3 linked regions of the Schizosaccharomyces pombe genome follow. The gene in region 1 interacts genetically with each later gene. Each region holds a gene or a part of one and is shown in the gene's direction. Other genes may lie near its edges.

What was found.
Region 2: mutations in ach1 (region 1) and siw14 together harm fitness more than expected from each alone (negative genetic interaction), as found in Schizosaccharomyces pombe (one large-scale study listed by BioGRID).
Region 3: mutations in ach1 (region 1) and bmt2 together harm fitness less than expected from each alone (positive genetic interaction), as found in Schizosaccharomyces pombe (one large-scale study listed by BioGRID).

Annotation. Positions count from the first base shown.
Region 1 is NC_003424.3:4,980,674-4,985,049, reverse strand, and holds ach1 (acetyl-CoA hydrolase), read left to right. Parts: upstream 1-1,892; 5' UTR 1,893-2,150; coding exon 2,151-3,716; 3' UTR 3,717-3,835; downstream 3,836-4,376. Other genes in the region: SPOM_SPAC1952.08C (pyridoxamine 5'-phosphate oxidase), read left to right, coding at 4,264-4,376. UniProt on the Schizosaccharomyces pombe protein: Presumably involved in regulating the intracellular acetyl-CoA pool for fatty acid and cholesterol synthesis and fatty acid oxidation.
Region 2 is NC_003423.3:1,403,378-1,407,423, reverse strand, and holds siw14 (inositol pyrophosphatase Siw14), read left to right. Parts: upstream 1-1,691; 5' UTR 1,692-1,957; coding exon 1,958-2,450; exon of another isoform or gene 2,451-2,474; intron 2,475-2,581; coding exon 2,582-2,667; intron 2,668-2,728; coding exon 2,729-2,805; exon of another isoform or gene 2,806-2,856; coding exon 2,857-3,064; 3' UTR 3,065-3,448; downstream 3,449-4,046. Other genes in the region: methionine--tRNA (Met) ligase Rar1, read left to right, coding at 1-16; protein aim19, read right to left, coding at 3,449-3,612, 3,834-3,853, 3,913-4,006. UniProt on the Schizosaccharomyces pombe protein: Cleaves the beta-phosphate at the 1- and 5-position of soluble inositol pyrophosphates. Has exopolyphosphatase activity in vitro but does not appear to contribute to the homeostasis of cellular polyphosphate.
Region 3 is NC_003424.3:363,794-367,010, forward strand, and holds bmt2 (rRNA (adenine) methyltransferase Bmt2), read left to right. Parts: upstream 1-1,651; 5' UTR 1,652-1,756; coding exon 1,757-2,569; 3' UTR 2,570-2,649; downstream 2,650-3,217. Other genes in the region: protein Vps55, read left to right, coding at 3,008-3,024, 3,080-3,098, 3,175-3,217.

The DNA of each region.
Region 1 (4,376 bases):
TTTATCAATGTTCCTCATCTCTCTGTCCTAATCATCGTTTGTTTTCTTACGCCTGTTGAATTTACTGTTTTCCATTTCGTGTTTCCTTGCATTCCTTGGTAGGTGAATATTTTGTGCTCCGATCTCTTGTACTGTGTTTTTCCTTCATTTGACCTTTAATACATATCTTTTTTGTCTTTGTTAAAATTTATTGCTTTCGGTCCTTCTTTTGAAAGCTCAGTCTTCTTGCCTATAATTCACAATTTGAAAAAAAAAAAAAAAAAAATCTCCTAATTCATGCTTCATTGCTCATATCATTGCTATTATTAAAAACAAAATTCTCAACATGCTATTACAATGATTTAGTTGAGTAAACATTTTGAGCTGGTTCTTTTCTTATACAGGAAAAAAGGTGATAGCTAATTGGAGTTGACCATTTCCTTACGGAAGTTTTAGAACGAATATATCGTTCTGTGGCCTACAAGGATTTTAAGTCAAAAAATTCTATCATTTTTCTGGTTAAGAAGGAATGTTTATTAGTTGTTAACTCACACTTGTGATATTGTTGATTGTAGTGATTGAACCGTTTCTTTAAAAGTTTTTTGAATGATCTGAACTAATTTGATACAAATAGTTAAGTCTAGTCTTTTCTGTTTATTAATAATCCTAATTTATTAATAATGCTAATAAATAAATTAATTGTATAACGTAAACATATATTTTTATTTATATACCGCGTTTGAATAATAATACCCAGTTTTGGGACAATAATGGGATACCGTTCCTAATTACCTCCATAATTTGATTTCTTGTTTTAATATGACGATATATCGTACTAAGTCATTGCTGCCTTCTGCCTCTTAATTCTGACTTAAACTGAAAAACAAAATATTTCGTGATTTATCGTTATTAATTATTTAGCAGGATTTCTACAAAATTTGTTATAGAAATTACAACGTAAGCAAGCATTCTCGGCACTATCTTTTTACCGTAATTTGCCTCACTCCCTTATACGTACTGCATTTGTTTTGATTCCCTACCTGCTTGAATGTGCGATTCCAATGAATGACCCTCCATAGGCTCTAGGTGAAACCTTATTTTACACATATAAAACAAGGTGAATTCCATTTCAACACTTGAATTCCTAACCTAACAACTACCATCCATAAGTATTTTGGTATATTTACAAAAATTGAGTGTAATTCACTCTTATAATCGATACTTCTGATTGTCATTAGCGTCGTTGAGATCAAAACAAAACAATTTCCAGGATTTTGAAATTTGGCTTTTAAACAGCTGAATCTTTGGTTATTTTGTTGAAGTTTCTTTGATTTAATATCTTTTCACCCCCCTTTCACCTCTATTCAGTTTAATTTAATCATTTGACTCTTTCTTCTTGCATCGGTTCGTTCGTGTTCGCTTTACTACTAACTTACCTACCTACATTTGTTCTCCTTATCCTTAATTCTTTTACAGATATAACAAAACGTCTGCCAAAGTCAACACACTCGGGTTTTGTCATTTAATAGGGCAAAACGCTACTCTACTTGGGATTTTCATTATATTTACTCTCATTCATATTCTTCCGTTTCTGTGACTAAATCACCATAAAAAAACACCTTCCTTCCCCGGAAAACAAATAAGCAAACAACACTTTTTTTCGAAACACATTGTTTAAACAAAGTTTACGCCCTTTTATTATTGAAGATTTTCACCCGGTCAACCTTTTACCCTTTTCCTATTTCGCAAATTCTGTCTCTTTTTTTCGTCACAATTTTGGTCTACTTTGCTAAAATCAAGTCGCGCATACATTCATCATTCCGGCTTTTTTTTTGCAATCATCATTCCATATCTTACCGATATCTGTGATCCTTGGGTTTGTAAATCTGTTACTGAGCAGTTACATATTTGTCACAAGAACAACCACTTTTGGTTGATTCATTTTCTTATTTAAAAGTAAAAAAGAGTGTACATTCAACAAATTAAAATTATCTTTTAAGCCCAAAAAAGCGTTTTTGAGCATATTCTGATTATTTATCTGTCGCCCAGATTCTTCATTGAAAGATTTCTTTTTCTTTTCTTTTTTTTCTTGTTTTATCGCTTTTGAATTTGACTTTTACTAGTTCAACGTTTTAATATTTCCTTCCTCTTCTCTTCTTTTTGTTGATACAATGCCGTCTCTTCTGAGTTCACGCATTCGCAATGCCGAATTTGCCAAAAAAATTGTTACGGATCCTGCCAAGTTGGTTCCGTACTTTAAAAATGGGGACTATGTTGGTTGGTCTGGTTTTACTGGTGTCGGTTATCCTAAAATGATTCCAAACGCGTTAGCAAGACATGTCGAAGAGAACAATTTGCAAGGAAAATTGCGTTTTAAATTGTTCGTTGGTGCCTCGGGAGGTGCTGATACGGAATGCAAGTGGGCTGAATTGAATATGATTGAGCGCCGGTGTCCTCATCAAGTAGGAAAGCCAATTTCTAAAGGAATTAACTCTGGCAGAATTCAGTTTTTCGACAAGCATTTATCCATGTTTCCCCAAGATTTACTTTATGGCTACTATACTCGTAATCGTGAAAGTAATACAATTGACACAGCCATTATTGAGGCCACAGCCATTACCGAGGACGGCGGAATTGTTCCCGGCGCATCAGTTGGTGCGAGTCCGGAACTTATGCAACTTGCGGAAAAGATTATCATCGAGGTGAACACTGCCATTCCTTCTTTTGAAGGACTTCATGACATTGTCGAAATTCCCAACCCCCCACATCGTACTCCAATAAACATCAATCGAGTTGACGATCGTATTGGAAAGCCATACATCAAAGTGGATCCCAAAAAGGTTATTGGAATAGTGGAGGCTGATTATGGAGACATCACATGCGCTAACTCTCCGCAAGATGAGACTTCGCAGGCTATTGCAGGCCATTTAGTTGACTTTTTCCATCATGAAGTATCTGTAGGGCGTCTTCCCAAAAATCTTCATCCTTTGCAATCCGGTATTGGAAACATTGCCAACGCTATTATCGGTGGTCTTGCCCATTCTCCCTTTAAAGATCTCGAAGTGTGGACAGAAGTCTTACAAGATACTTTCTTGCCTCTCTTTGACTCTGAAAAGTTACGTTTTGCTACTGCTACCTCAACCCGTTTTTCTCCTCAGGGATTTGAAAAATTCTACTCAAACTATGATTACTACAAGGAAAGAATTTTGTTACGCCCTCAAGTAATTTCCAATCACCCTGAAATTATCCGCCGTCTTGGTTGCATCGCTATGAATACTCCTGTGGAAGCCGATATTTACGCTCATGCCAATAGTACAAATGTTTTGGGAAGCAGAATGTTGAACGGTTTAGGTGGTTCTGCTGATTTCTTGCGTAATGCGAAATTAAGTATTATGCATACACCATCGGTTCGTCCTTCGAAGAAGGATCCTACTGGTATCACTTGTATTGTTCCTATGGCTACCCATGTTGACCAAACCGAACATGATTTGGATATTTTGGTTACAGAGCAAGGATTGGCTGATTTACGAGGCTTGTCTCCTACCGAACGTGCTCGTGAGGTTATTGACAAGTGTGCTCATCCTGACTATAAGCCTCTGCTCAGAGAGTATTTCGATATTGCCGAAAACTACTGTTTAGCTAGAGGAGCTGGTCATGAACCCCATATTCTTGCCAATGCTTTCAAGATGCAGCTCAACCTTTTAGAAAAAGGAACGATGAAGATCGATCATTGGTAAATTTAGTTATCAGTTGTTATAGCCACTTTTACTCTTTCTAAGGGTTTTCCAAAACCTTGTTACGACTAAAATACAGCTTCTTCGTGCTGTTATGACTTAATGTATTTCATTTTTACATTAATTTAATTTACGAAATAAAAAAAATCCGTATACTAAAATTAGTGTTTATAAGTTAAGGAAATTAGTTTTGAGTAAGTAAATCCAACAATCATAATGCGTATGAATTTTCCAAGATACACAGAAATGAGCGCGTTTATTTTATGAGCAGTATTCCTTTGAAGATTATTAATCTTTAGTTCCCCTGCAAAATTCGTAAGTTGGCTGTTTAGTACATACCTCTATATTACGTTGAGTTGTGAGTCAGCATTTCTGCTATTAACCTAGTATCAAACCTGCTTACTCAGAGAGGAGTACCACCAAAATTTAGGAAAGGATAATCAAGTATAGAAATTATCGTACAGTTTTGTCTGGATCAATAGTTTCCATTCACCAGTATTTATTCTGCAAATTATAATCTTTGTCGCACCACAATAACCTGAAAGTAAATATGGCCTCAAAAGTCGATTCATCTCATGAGTTCCCCAGCCAAATCAAGAGATGCTTGTCCTCATCCAAATATATTCAACTAGCTACTTGCTTTCATGATCAGCCTCACTCTTC
Region 2 (4,046 bases), on another chromosome or scaffold:
TAATGGATCAAACTAATTTAACCAATGTGAAAATAGTGGTTCTATTTCCATCAATGAAAATCTGCTACACCGTTTTTTTTTCTTTTTTTAAAAGTTATTCTTGTTGGGGTACATGGAAAAAGGGTGTTTTATTGGACCTACAAATAATTACCACTGTCGCGAGCAACATTTTTCCAATGTATATTAAAGTGTAGAAGACTTCTTTTGTAGGGGTTAGATTATTAGATTCGTTTTTTGGTACTACTATAACTGTTCACCACGGTGCTGTTTATAGTAAATAAAATGATGGGTGAGCGCACACAATAATTAATTTCATATTGGAGAGTATGAGAAAGCTTCACTACGGCTTTAATTTTAATTACTGAGTCGATCGAGGTTGGCCAAATTATACATAATTGAGAAAACAGCCAATTTAAAAAGATTACTTTGTATTTTTGAGTTTATAAGGAGATTTTAAGGCAATATTAGTTAGCATCAATTATAGCAAAATTATTATGGTCAATGAGAAACGTGTTTGTAGGCATTCTTCTATAAAAAAAAGAAGTAGGTACTATCTTTTTACAGAAGAATTAACTCAAATTTAAAAACCATATGTAATTGACATTCCGGTGTTTAATATACCATGCCGTGTCTGTTGAAACATTTTAGAAACGTTTGCTTTCATTGTGTTCACTAACATGTGTAAGTAATGTAAAAAAAATGAATACAGTAATGAAAGGAAGCCTACAGCACCCCGGATTCCCATGTTGTCTCCAACCATAGTACTAACGAGGCCCTCAGACGCTTAACTGCAGTGATCGGACGGGAACTGGTGTTTTCGCCTAGGTATGGCCGTAGACATTTGCTGTATAAGTTAAAATAATTTATAGTGCTAATTATAGACAGAAGAATACTCATACTCTTTGTATAATGTTGCGAAGAATTTGCGAATCCAAATGTATTATCACTCATGAATGTAATTTGTATTGTATATTAATAGTATTTTACATGAATATTTCGATTATGTTTTAATTCGATGAGCTGCTCGGCATCACTGGTATCCTAACATTGCAGAGTTGAAACATCAAATTATTCAACTCGTTAACAATGCGGTTGCTTCCAACTTTTATTCAACTTCTAATACTTGTTTCTGTATCAGTATTTAATTCTATCCAATTTTTTTTCATAATTCCTTTTTTTTTACTGGTTTGTTTACTCAATTTTTCACACTCACATATGAACGATTATGTACTAATATAGTATCTTTCATATCAAAATATAATATTAAAGAGGTACCGTTTTTTCCTTAACAGATTGCCTCAGAATCCTATCATTGGCTTCATATAGTGCATTTTACTGAAGTCGCGGAAATTATATCGATTTATTTTGTATTGAAAAAGAATTGTTTGTTTGCACTCGATTGTAGCTTTTATAGTGTTTTTTTTTATTATGGATTGAATAATTCTTCCTATTTAGCATCTATGACTTACTGATTAGACTTACAGTGCCAGATGTTTGGTTGAAAAAAGACATATGGAATAGTAGTTTTTAATAGGATTCTCGCGCAAATAAAAGAAGGTGAAAATGCATTTTATAAGAGTATTCAGTGAAAGATTTCTGGCTTCTGTGTACCGTCCCTCTCTTCTCTAGCTTACATAAATATGCCGTAAATTTCCGTATACTTGTGCATCTTCATCGGCTCCGGTTAATTTGCTAAATACCTTACCTCACCAAGAATCTACAATATCCTCAGAAAAGTAATACATTTGGCAAAATTTGCCAAATCAGTATTTTTGTATAGTACTTTATTTCCAATTTACTGTTCAGGTCTTAACGCTTGTCGTCCTGGTACCGCTATCGTTTAGAAGTTTCTTAAGTAGTCAAATTGAGGTTGTGGCACCATCAATCGTTCATAATTAGAGAAACATTTTAAGTGGTTTCTTTATTTTTCGAATGTGCTTGGGAGGGTAGTTGATTGATGGCCATTGTTTTTCCATTCCAACTTGAAAAGAAGTTGATATCAATTACTTCGGATAGGGACCAAATTTCTATGTCTATACCCGAGGTGTCGAGTCATGACAGTTGTTTAAACGATTGTCATTCTGTGAATTCGGAAGAACAGGCAAAACCAGTTTGTTGCTTAGAGTTGAATGCCCATAAAGATGGTATCAAGGTAGTTGACACTTCCAACGATGCCTCGACATTCTCCAATTCACCGCTTGTACCAGATAATTTTGGGGTCGTTTATCCTGGAATTATTTATCGTTCTGCATGTCCACGTGCTTCTAATTTCAATTTCCTGGAATCCTTACACATCCGTACCATTATATCATTAAGACAAGAAGAGTATTCCGAAGAGGATCTCCACTACTTCACTAAACATCACATTAATTATTATCATATTGCCATGCCTGGAAGCAAACATCGGAAAAACGATTGCATTTCCTCTTCCTCAAATCCCGACATTTCAGGTAAGCTTTCCACCATCTTAACTTGTTGCACACTTTGTTTAAAAATTAAAAAGATATTTTAATTATTCTTCATTCCTTGTTTCAAGTTTTTTTTTAATTACTTTACTTTGATTAGCTAACCCGCTTGCTAGACGTTGACGATCTTGTACGAAAAACTTTACAACTTCTTTTAAATAAAGAAAATTGGCCTGTTTTGCTCCATTGCAGTCGTGGAAAGGTAGGTTATTCTTTTCTTTAGATTATTTTCTTAATTATTGCTTTGCTAACGATTCATTAAGCATCGCACAGGTATTGTAATTGGTTGTCTAAGAGCATTGATGAATTGGCCAGTCGGAAATCGTTTACAGGAATATATGTAAGTTTTCATTTATTTCATTGTTTTCGTATCAATTGTTAACCTATAAAGATCCTTTTCACATCCCAAAGAACGTGAAGTTGACGAAGAATATATTCAGAACTTTTCATCAGATCCATCTCTAAAGTCTTCTCTCAATGATTTGAAACGGTATATTAGTGATTCATCTTCAGAATTAGCTGATGTCGTTTTGTCCAGTGAGTCTCCGACAGTGCAAGCTGCTACTGTGAATGAAACTTGTCGTTCTCCCGGTTCGTAATTGAATGCCTTATAGAGTATTCCTGTTTTTCAACTTTTTCTATTTGTGTTTATCACTTGGCTGTTCCATATATATATGTCTTTCGCTATTTTGTTCTTTTTCCTAGTTATAGCTTAAATGCTTAATAGCTACCAGATGGTACATAATTAGGATTTACCTCCTACATAACATTTTCTTTTATAATTTTTAATTCTTTCATAAACTTGTTTGCTTATATATATGTACTATTTACTATCCGAGGAATTTTTACAGAATTTCATAGGAGTAAGTAACTGTACATTTGAAGAAAATACGGTGGTGTTTCCACCACGTTTTCTTCGTCTTCTTTTTTGGAATAATGGTTTTGAGGTTCAACGTTGTATATATCGTATAATATATCACTTTTTAATATTCATTCATGAAGGTTTTCCCGTAACCGACTGCGTTGGCAGTTGCGAATGTAGTTAGAGCAATTGGGTATAGTCGAAAAGATTTGATTGATTTGGTAGCATTAATCATTAGATAGGCAATTGACCAAGCTGTACAAATTCCTGAACCGTTGGTTAAGTCTATATTCGTAAGGTCAATAAATTGCGAAAAGCAAATGAAAAACAATCCTAATAGTTGCAAAGACTTGAAACTTTTTAAAACGAAATTGAACACATTCATAAAAGCTGCTTAATGATCGTGAGGAGTAATATTTGAAATCAAACGTCTATCCTTAAATTCCTATGTATTTTACCAAGGCAACATATAATGAATTGGAATACTAGTCACCAAAATCACTTACCACCACTAGCAATTGCAAGACTGAAAAAGTAATTAGTAAAATAGAACAGTACAAAAGAAATAAGTATATTTGTAAATACCCTCCTATAGCATTGAATCCACCACACAAAAGACAACCAGGAACGAAAGGACCGCCATAGGGTCGTTTAAATGCTCTAGGTACAGAAGCAATTACTGTTTTATAGAAATTAGCTAAATACTGAATTAATTAATT
Region 3 (3,217 bases), 4.6 Mb from region 1:
TAAAGGACTACAAACACAAAAAGCTTTTTAAAAGGCTAAAGTCGTTATGCAATGGTTGGATTTTACCAACAAAGTTTTGTTACGGGATGTTGTATCACTAACATTCCGTTACGTCTCATTTGTGCCAATATACTGAATGCTTGCGTAAACTCTGTAATACTTGGAAACGGCTTCACTGCGCCTCACTATTTGGAAAGTTGTAACGCTGTAAATGTTTTGTTTTTACCTATAAGTAAATAGAAGATACATAATAAAATTTGGTGATGCTCTGGATTTTCAGGGATAATAGAATTTCTGTAGTTATATTTTCTACAATGACGGCTAACTTTTAAATTGTTTAATCTTGATGCCATGCAGTATAGCTCAAATGCTGAAGAATTTAGGTAATATGCATTTTATACTTTGTCTTTAAATTGTCATACTTGTCTCTTGCGACTTTTATAGCTAAATAATAATATTCCAGTGCTAACGTATGTGTTTTTTCTATAGTAATCCAAAAAAAACACGCAATTTATTGTGTCAGTAAATAAAGTAACTTGTAAAAATAAGTTTAGCTGAAATGTACAACAATCAGTCCCCCATCCAATGCGATAGCAGCCGCAGTTACAAATATTATTTATATTTAATTATTACATTTTGTTTACAGGTACATAATGTTTGTTAACACTTTTTGTACGTTTAATTAAACTAAAAGTATTTATTTTTTTAACATATACTCTAAAAAATTAATTTACTCAAGTTTGAGTTATCAAGAAAATTTAATCTACAATAATTATTTTTGAAGCACTTATTTGTTTTAATAGTATATAGTCTGGTGAAACAATTAGAATTCGTCTGTAAGTAGTAAAAATACAAAAATGTTTCTATGGTTTTCATATCATAAATACTTACACTTCACCCGTTTAACTTAAAAACTTAAGGTAATCCGTAGTACACCAAATTCTTTTCTTTTCTTTTTTTATTTTTTTTTATTTTTTAAAATGTATTTTATTTAAGAAATAATAAATAAAGTCCCTTATCCAATTCCACTAGATATAAATCGTTAGTTTAGAATTTACCAAAATACTTTTCAATAGCTGTCGTATATACATATTTATACACATTTATTACTTTCTTTTAAAAATAACTTATATCAATTATATCGTAACGTAACTGATGAGTGGAATCATTTAAAACAATTTAAGAGAGAAGTTGATATTGGCTGTTTATTTATCCGAATTTTTTTATGTTATAGTTCTACCATATTTGGCGGTTGTTTTCTTTATTTTGATTATTTTTTAAAAACAATTGAAAAAGTTTAGTTAATAATCAAGTAAATCTAATAACTATATATACAGTTTTCAAAGCACAATATCAACTGAGGCTTCGTGGTGTAGTGGTAGCATACTTCGTTTGGGTCGAAGTGGTCAGGGGTTCGATCCCCCTCGAAGCCCAAAGCCTTTAAATTTTTGTTTCAAATATAAAAAAAGTTGATTTGTGCTTGTAAAGTACAAACCGTATAAAAAAAGGAAACCCGTTTAATATTCTGTGTAATGGTTAAAGGGTTGCATAAATTACCGCTCTTTAATTACATATTAAGAATTTATCATACATTGTCCAAGCTCTTCTTGTGCTGAATTTTTATAAGTAACGCGACACTACTTCTTTCATCGTAAAAACTTTTCAAGTAATTAGGAAACTACATTTATGAACCATTTACTGTAAATACAATTATATTTTCATCTGGGAGATTAACAAATATTTTATCACTATTTGAATGCGTCCCATTCCAGTGAAGAATCGCATTGGAAAAAACAACATTGATAATGCAAAGGGACTGAAGGGGAATAAGCTTATTCGTCATTATCATAACCTGTTAAAAGAGAAATCTCGACTTATTGCGTCAAGTGCTCCGATTGAAAAAATAAAAAATGTGGAAAGTGAACTCGAAAATATAGGTATTGATGCTTACCAACGAGCTAGTCGATCCGGTCAAGCGGAAGGAAAAGGAGGGGATTCAAGTAAAATATTGATAAAATGGATTCGGACAACTCCCTGTTTTTCGTATTGCGCACGTCTTAAGGAGCCGAAAGATTTGTTGGAAATTGGCAGTGTTTCTGTTGACAACAAATGTTCAACTTGTGGACTTTTCCGAGTTTCAAGGATTGATTTGCATTCTGTTCATCCCTTGATTAAACAACAGGACTTTCTTGAAAGAACTCCTGAAGAAGGACTTTTTACTGGGATAAGTTGTTCACTTGTGCTGAATTTTGCACCTCCAGAACTCCGAGCTAAAATGTTATTACATTGTACAGGATTGTTAATGCCTCCTAATAAAGAACAGCCTCCTTGGTTATTTTTGGTTTTGCCTTCGCCTTGCATAACAAATTCTCGGTACATGGATGAAAAAACATTACACTCAATTATGATACAGTTTGGATTTATCTGTCGTCAAAAGTCTATATCGAAAAAAATAGCCTACTATTTATATTCTTACGAGTGTTTTCCTATGAAAGAAATAGACTGGAAAAAGAAGATCGTTAATGATGGGGCAACTAGGAATAATTTCTTCATTCCCTGTATACTCTAATTAAGATATTTGTCAATACAAAATTTATTTTACTAGTATCTCAAAGTTAAATTAATGAAATGAATGCTTTTTGTCGGTTATCCTCTTGCTTTTTTTTAATTGTATTGTTAATGTCAATTACTAGCCTTTACTTACGTAGCTACAAAGTACGTTTTTCAGAGTTTGTTCGTATGCGATACTTTACTAATGAGCCGAAAGCTCGATCATTGGTGTAAAAAATAGTAACAAGTCATTTTCGTTATATGTCTTTTTAAACTTATTTGCCAAGTTTACAAATCTTGTGCACCGCTCTGTGTTCTATGCATACAGAACACATCTGTATAACGTAATGGAGCGTACCCTTTTTAGGTGAAGTAGCTGGTAATCATCGAAGTCTCTCTTCTCAAAAGCAGTAAACTTTAGCTTGCAGTATATATTCGTGAACGATAGTAATTAAATATGTCCGACCTCAGGAAGTAAGTAATTTTTGTTAATATGAAAAAGCAAAGGTTAACGTTTGTCACCAATTAGAATTATCGGTCTTTCTTCGGTATGCATCGCTCAATGACTCCTACTCGAGCTAGACATCAATTCCATTTTAAACGAGTCTAACTTATATTATTAAGGTCCTGGCAGTAGGATTTATGCTGGTGATCCTGTCTTGTGCTT